Linked DNA regions of Saccharomyces cerevisiae S288C. Changing the gene in region 2 together with the main gene of any one other region gives a genetic interaction. Each region holds a gene or a part of one and is shown on either strand. Other genes may lie near its edges.

The links. A genetic interaction does not mean that the proteins touch.
Region 1: of NDE1 (region 2) and SEF1, changing one suppresses a phenotype caused by changing the other (phenotypic suppression), as found in Saccharomyces cerevisiae (one study listed by BioGRID).

The regions. Positions count from the first base shown.
Region 1 is NC_001134.8:98,486-102,242, reverse strand, and holds the start of SEF1 (Sef1p), read left to right. Parts: upstream 1-2,127; coding exon 2,128-3,757. Other genes in the region: KIP1 (Kip1p), read right to left, coding at 1-357; thioredoxin peroxidase PRX1, read left to right, coding at 1,087-1,872. UniProt on the Saccharomyces cerevisiae protein: Putative transcription factor that seems to be involved in the sporulation process. Suppresses the lethal phenotype of RPM2 deletion.
Region 2 is NC_001145.3:554,739-558,495, reverse strand, and holds NDE1 (NADH-ubiquinone reductase (H(+)-translocating) NDE1), read left to right. Parts: upstream 1-2,020; coding exon 2,021-3,703; downstream 3,704-3,757. Other genes in the region: TIF34 (translation initiation factor eIF3 subunit i), read left to right, coding at 1-1,015.

The DNA.
Region 1 (3,757 bases), on a different chromosome or scaffold from region 2:
ATTAAACACTGTTTCCTGGTCAGATTCTGCGCCGAACACCTGATCAAATTGGTAAGTTTTCTTCGAGGACGAATACGATTGGTGAGAACCGTTGGACAGAATGATTTCTTTCCCTTGTGGGCCTAGTGTAGATATAACTACACTACTTTTTTCCTCTATTTCTCGCTTATTACGCGATCTGCACCTTACATATACATGTATATTGGAGTCTGAAGTGGCAGCACCATTGTTACAGGTGGGCGGCGTTAGAGTGTGCATCCCATTTGAAAGACTTGGAGATGGAGCATGTGCAATGGTCCTCCTCTTGTTCGCTTCGAACTGGGCGGTGCGGCGGTTGGGCAAGGAAGAACGAGCCATGATTGTTTAACTATCTCGCCATATTTAGTGAGGGAAGCGCGAACTGTCGTTGATTGTTTATGTGTTTATTTTATGTTTATCGTTCTTAGAGGGTGGCGCGCACTGTGCGCGCATATGTGGGCCATACGCAGACATATATAAAGAACTAAGAAAAGGTGAAATGGGACTCTACGATGGCGCTAATGGTAAGGTCTCTTTTCTATTTGCCTAATTCAGATACAATATATAATTGCCAACCTCAAAGAAGAAGAATTATGGGCATATTGACCTTCTCCGGTTTCCCTCCCGCGCTCTCGTATCCGTCTGCATTTGACCTCGAGCAAGCGCTCCACTATGTCTATATGTTTACCAGTAAAACTTCTTAACGTTTGTGATATTTTTTGAACTTCAACCACATTCAGTATGCGTGTGTATATAAAGATATTCCTGATAGCACTATGTTTATCTTTATACAATATACAAAAGGTCACCCAGGACGAGCAGCGCGGCTATTTTTCTATCATTCCGTGAATAGCGACCAACGGTCGGCGGCTATTTTTTTTTTTGCAATTTTTTCGGGATGGGTTCCCCGGCAAAAGCTAGCCCCGGAGATTTTTAATTACGTAAAGAAACAAGGGGCCGGATGTTGCTGCTATTGGTATATAAAGAGAGAAGGAGAGATATAGAAAATTGTGCTTCTAGATTCTCGCAGTAGGATGAGATAAATTTCAAAGAAGCAGGAAGCAAAGGATGTTTAGTAGAATTTGTAGCGCTCAATTAAAGAGGACGGCATGGACCCTTCCTAAGCAGGCTCACTTGCAATCACAGACGATTAAAACATTTGCCACAGCACCTATTCTGTGCAAACAATTCAAACAAAGTGATCAACCAAGACTAAGAATAAACTCTGATGCTCCTAACTTTGATGCTGACACAACGGTTGGTAAAATCAATTTTTACGACTACTTGGGCGACTCTTGGGGGGTCTTGTTTTCTCACCCAGCAGATTTCACCCCTGTCTGCACCACCGAAGTCAGCGCATTCGCCAAATTGAAGCCGGAATTCGACAAGAGAAATGTTAAATTGATCGGGCTTTCAGTGGAAGATGTTGAGTCCCACGAAAAATGGATTCAAGACATCAAGGAAATAGCAAAGGTTAAAAATGTTGGTTTCCCAATAATTGGTGACACTTTTAGAAACGTGGCATTCCTATATGATATGGTAGATGCCGAAGGATTCAAAAATATCAATGATGGGTCACTGAAGACCGTGAGGTCTGTTTTCGTCATCGATCCCAAGAAGAAGATTAGACTGATTTTTACCTACCCTTCCACCGTCGGAAGAAACACTTCTGAAGTGTTAAGGGTAATCGACGCCTTGCAATTGACTGACAAGGAGGGCGTAGTAACTCCAATTAATTGGCAGCCAGCTGACGATGTCATTATTCCTCCCTCTGTCTCCAATGATGAGGCGAAGGCTAAATTTGGTCAATTTAATGAAATTAAACCCTATTTAAGATTCACCAAGTCGAAATAAGCTTTGAAATAAACGACTTTACTATATACAGGTATATGAAGTATCTCTAACTAAAACTTTTATCTATCTTTCATTCTTATTATATCTCATCTCGTACGAAGGGCCGCTCATTGGATCATTTTTCTTTACATACCGTAAAGGAATGGCGTTAAAAATATATATATGAAAATGCATGTAATAAACTCTCTGCAGAAACCTTAATGTCAAAGGTCCCGTATACAGATTATATTGGCTCTGCGTATACGCATTCTCGTCATGGTGAAGGATAATCGAGATTCTGACCAAGACCAAGATTTTAGTTCTGCTCACATGAAAAGACAACCGGAGCAGCAACAGTTGCAACAGCACCAGTTCCCAAGTAAGAAACAACGAATATCTCACCATGATGACAGTCATCAAATCAACCATAGACCAGTTACCTCATGTACACATTGTAGACAGCACAAAATCAAATGCGATGCTAGTCAAAATTTCCCTCATCCTTGCTCCAGATGCGAAAAAATTGGTCTCCACTGTGAAATCAATCCTCAATTCAGGCCTAAGAAGGGCTCACAGTTGCAACTACTGAGACAAGATGTGGATGAAATCAAATCTAAACTCGATACTCTTCTGGCCAATGACAGCGTTTTCGTTCATCTTTTACAACAGATTCCCATGGGCAATAGCCTTTTGAATAAGCTCAATCTGCATCCAACTCCAACTCCGGGTACTATTATCCCTAACCCAGATTCTTCTCCTTCCTCAGGTTCTCCAACTTCTTCCGCGGCTCAACGAGATTCTAAGGTTTCAGTTCAAACTTATTTGTCCAGGGAACCCCAACTCTTACAAGCAAATCAGGGCAGCAATACGAATAAATTTAAAGCAAATAATGAAGCATCTTCTCACATGACGTTGCGCGCATCTTCTTTAGCGCAAGATTCGAAAGGCTTGGTTGCAACAGAGCCAAATAAGCTGCCCCCGCTGCTAAATGACTCAGCATTGCCTAATAATTCAAAAGAATCTTTACCTCCTGCTTTGCAAATGGCTTTTTATAAGAACAACTCTGCAGGTAACACTCCGAACGGCCCCTTCTCTCCAATTCAAAAAACATATTCCCCTCATACTACGTCGACCACCGTTACAACGACAACAAATCAACCACCATTTGCAGCAACAAGCCACGTAGCAACAAATAACAATGCAGATAGGACGAAGACGCCGGTAGTAGCCACCACCACGACTATGCCATTATTGCCTTCGCCGCATGCAAATGTAGATGAGTTTGTACTGGGCGATATTAGTATTTCCATTGAAAAAGCGAATAGATTACACCATATTTTCGTGACTAGGTATCTGCCGTATTTTCCTATTATGTATTCCAATAACGCCACCGAATTATACTCCCAATCTCAGTTGCTTTTCTGGACCGTGATGTTGACGGCATGTCTGTCTGATCCTGAACCGACGATGTATTGCAAGCTAAGCTCTTTGATCAAGCAACTTGCCATAGAGACCTGCTGGATAAGAACACCTAGATCCACACATATTTCGCAAGCTTTGTTAATATTGTGCATTTGGCCTTTGCCTAACCAAAAAGTCCTAGATGATTGTTCTTACCGTTTTGTAGGATTAGCAAAGTCACTGTCTTATCAATTAGGTTTGCACAGAGGTGAATTCATTTCTGAATTCACAAGAACTCAAACATCAATGCCAAATGCAGAAAAGTGGAGAACTAGGACTTGGCTGGGAATATTTTTTGCCGAACTTTGTTGGGCGAGTATCCTTGGTTTGCCACCAACTTCACAGACAGACTATTTATTAGAAAAAGCCTTATCCTGTGGTGACGAAGAATCAGAAGAAGATAACAATGACAGTATTGACAATAACAACAATGATAAAAGGAACA
Region 2 (3,757 bases):
ACGTCCATTAACTCAAGTGAAGTACAACAAAGAAGGTGATTTACTATTTTCATGTTCGAAAGATAGCTCGGCCAGTGTTTGGTATTCGTTGAACGGTGAAAGATTAGGTACTTTGGATGGTCACACCGGTACCATTTGGTCTATCGACGTCGACTGTTTCACCAAGTACTGTGTTACAGGAAGTGCTGATTACAGTATCAAATTATGGGATGTGTCAAACGGGCAATGTGTTGCTACATGGAAATCGCCTGTCCCCGTTAAAAGAGTTGAATTTTCCCCATGCGGTAACTACTTTCTAGCTATCTTGGACAACGTCATGAAAAATCCAGGTTCCATTAACATATACGAAATTGAAAGAGATTCCGCCACTCACGAATTAACAAAGGTCTCCGAAGAGCCAATCCATAAAATTATCACTCATGAAGGTTTAGACGCTGCCACCGTGGCTGGATGGTCGACTAAGGGCAAATACATCATTGCAGGCCATAAAGACGGTAAGATCAGCAAATACGATGTGTCCAACAACTACGAATACGTGGATTCCATCGATTTGCACGAAAAGTCCATCAGTGACATGCAATTTTCTCCTGATTTAACATACTTTATTACATCATCCAGAGATACTAACTCGTTCTTGGTCGATGTATCGACTCTACAAGTTCTTAAGAAATACGAAACAGACTGTCCTCTAAACACCGCCGTAATCACCCCATTGAAGGAATTCATTATTCTTGGTGGTGGTCAAGAGGCCAAGGATGTCACCACCACCAGTGCCAACGAAGGTAAGTTTGAAGCTAGGTTCTACCACAAGATCTTCGAAGAAGAAATCGGCAGAGTACAAGGCCATTTTGGTCCCTTGAACACAGTTGCCATTAGCCCACAGGGCACAAGTTATGCCTCCGGTGGTGAAGATGGGTTCATACGTCTACACCATTTCGAAAAATCTTACTTTGATTTCAAATACGACGTGGAGAAGGCCGCCGAAGCTAAAGAGCACATGCAAGAAGCTAATTAATGTTAATTTTGATGCTGATGTTGATGTATAGTAAACATACATATATGCATATACGCACGTATATATATATAAGAATATGAAACCCAAACTGTGGATATTATTTCGTTTATTATGATCTCTCGCATATCTTGATACGAAGTGCAAGTCATTATAATATTTAGACTTTTCATTACGTTAATAGAGAGTCACTTTAACCACGAGGGGAAAAAACACATACCCCTCCCCTTCGAGGTAATCTTCCGGTGAGATCTTCCCTGTATGCAGTTCCCGGGCATAGGCGGGTTTAACATCTTGCTAAAGAACTATCGCACTAACCCTCTGGTACCCAATGCCGAGATTCGGTAATGGGGGCACGGCACTACGGAAAAAAAACTACAATTCTAACTCTACCCCGCCCCTTACGAAAACGCCCTAGCTCAACCATTCCGACCGATAAAAAGTTGCCGCGATCCCGTCGATCGCATTTGGTTTTGAGGTAAAAAAAGAAAGCGACAGGGATCTTCTCCACGATGCTCGAGATGCCCTGGTCCTCGCTATGGCATTACTCTGGCCTCAGCGGTATTTGCATTCACAACCATCACCATCGGGATGGTAATACATGGCTCGGCAATGAGAAGAGTTTTGGCACACATGGGCCACTCCTTATGCTTTCTTTCCGTTGTCTCGAAGCGTGTGGTGTTTCTATTTTCATTCTCCTTCTTGGGTGTATATATAAAAGAGGTTGTGTTATATAAGACAACGCTCATTGGCCTGTTCTTGATTTTGATTTTTTCCGCTTTTGTGCTGTTGGGGCTAGAACTATAAGTGTGTCGATTGTTTTTATCTTCATTATTTCTTTTGCATGTTTAGTATTTAGACTAAATTTATACGCAGCTACTATCTTTTATTATATATTCTGGTAAACCAATTAAAGAGAGAAAAAGGAAAAAAATTTTCACACTAATATTCTTCATATAGCATCATAATATTGACTTATTAGAGCAAATAAAAAATTAACCAATAATAATGATTAGACAATCATTAATGAAAACAGTGTGGGCTAACTCCTCCAGGTTTAGCCTACAGAGCAAGTCGGGGCTTGTGAAATATGCCAAAAATAGATCGTTCCATGCAGCAAGAAATTTGCTAGAGGACAAGAAAGTCATTTTGCAAAAAGTGGCGCCCACTACTGGCGTTGTTGCGAAGCAGTCCTTTTTCAAGAGAACTGGGAAATTTACTTTGAAGGCTTTATTGTATTCTGCCCTCGCGGGTACGGCTTACGTTTCATACTCACTTTACCGAGAAGCTAACCCTTCTACCCAAGTTCCTCAATCGGACACTTTTCCAAACGGTTCAAAGAGGAAGACTTTGGTAATTCTGGGCTCCGGTTGGGGTTCTGTGTCGCTTTTGAAAAATTTGGACACCACGTTGTATAATGTTGTTGTTGTTTCTCCAAGAAATTATTTTCTTTTTACTCCGCTATTGCCATCTACCCCAGTTGGTACCATCGAATTGAAATCTATTGTTGAACCTGTCAGGACTATTGCTAGAAGATCGCACGGTGAAGTCCATTACTATGAAGCTGAAGCGTACGACGTTGATCCTGAAAACAAAACAATTAAGGTCAAATCTTCCGCTAAGAATAACGACTACGACTTGGACTTGAAATACGACTATCTGGTTGTCGGTGTGGGTGCTCAACCAAACACTTTTGGTACTCCGGGAGTTTATGAATATTCTTCTTTCTTGAAGGAAATATCCGACGCTCAAGAGATCAGATTAAAAATTATGTCCAGTATTGAGAAAGCTGCCTCCCTATCTCCAAAAGATCCTGAGAGAGCAAGATTGTTGAGCTTTGTTGTCGTTGGTGGTGGTCCCACCGGTGTCGAATTTGCCGCTGAATTGAGAGATTATGTTGACCAGGACTTGAGAAAATGGATGCCCGAATTGAGTAAAGAAATTAAAGTCACTTTGGTGGAGGCTTTGCCAAACATTTTGAACATGTTTGACAAGTATCTCGTTGACTATGCTCAAGATTTATTCAAAGAGGAAAAAATCGATTTAAGATTGAAAACAATGGTTAAGAAAGTTGACGCTACCACTATAACTGCCAAAACTGGCGATGGTGACATTGAAAATATACCGTATGGTGTATTAGTTTGGGCTACAGGTAATGCGCCAAGAGAAGTGTCTAAGAACCTAATGACTAAATTAGAGGAACAGGACTCAAGACGTGGTTTGTTGATAGATAACAAACTTCAACTTTTGGGTGCTAAGGGATCTATTTTTGCTATCGGCGATTGTACCTTCCACCCTGGCTTGTTCCCTACCGCTCAAGTTGCCCACCAAGAAGGTGAATACTTGGCTCAGTATTTCAAGAAAGCTTATAAAATCGATCAATTGAACTGGAAAATGACCCATGCTAAAGACGATTCAGAAGTCGCTAGATTAAAGAACCAAATAGTCAAAACGCAATCGCAAATTGAAGACTTCAAGTACAACCATAAGGGTGCTCTGGCTTATATTGGTTCAGATAAAGCCATTGCTGATCTTGCCGTTGGTGAAGCCAAATATAGGTTAGCCGGCTCATTCACCTTCCTATTCTGGAAATCTGCTTATTTGGCAATGTGTCTATCCTTTAGAAACAGAGTTCTTGTCGCTATGGATTGGGCTAAAGTTTATTTCTTGGGTAGAGATTCATCTATCTAGTAGAAATAGATACAAGAGAATAACATTTTTAAATGATGATCAGTTTTGTTTTTT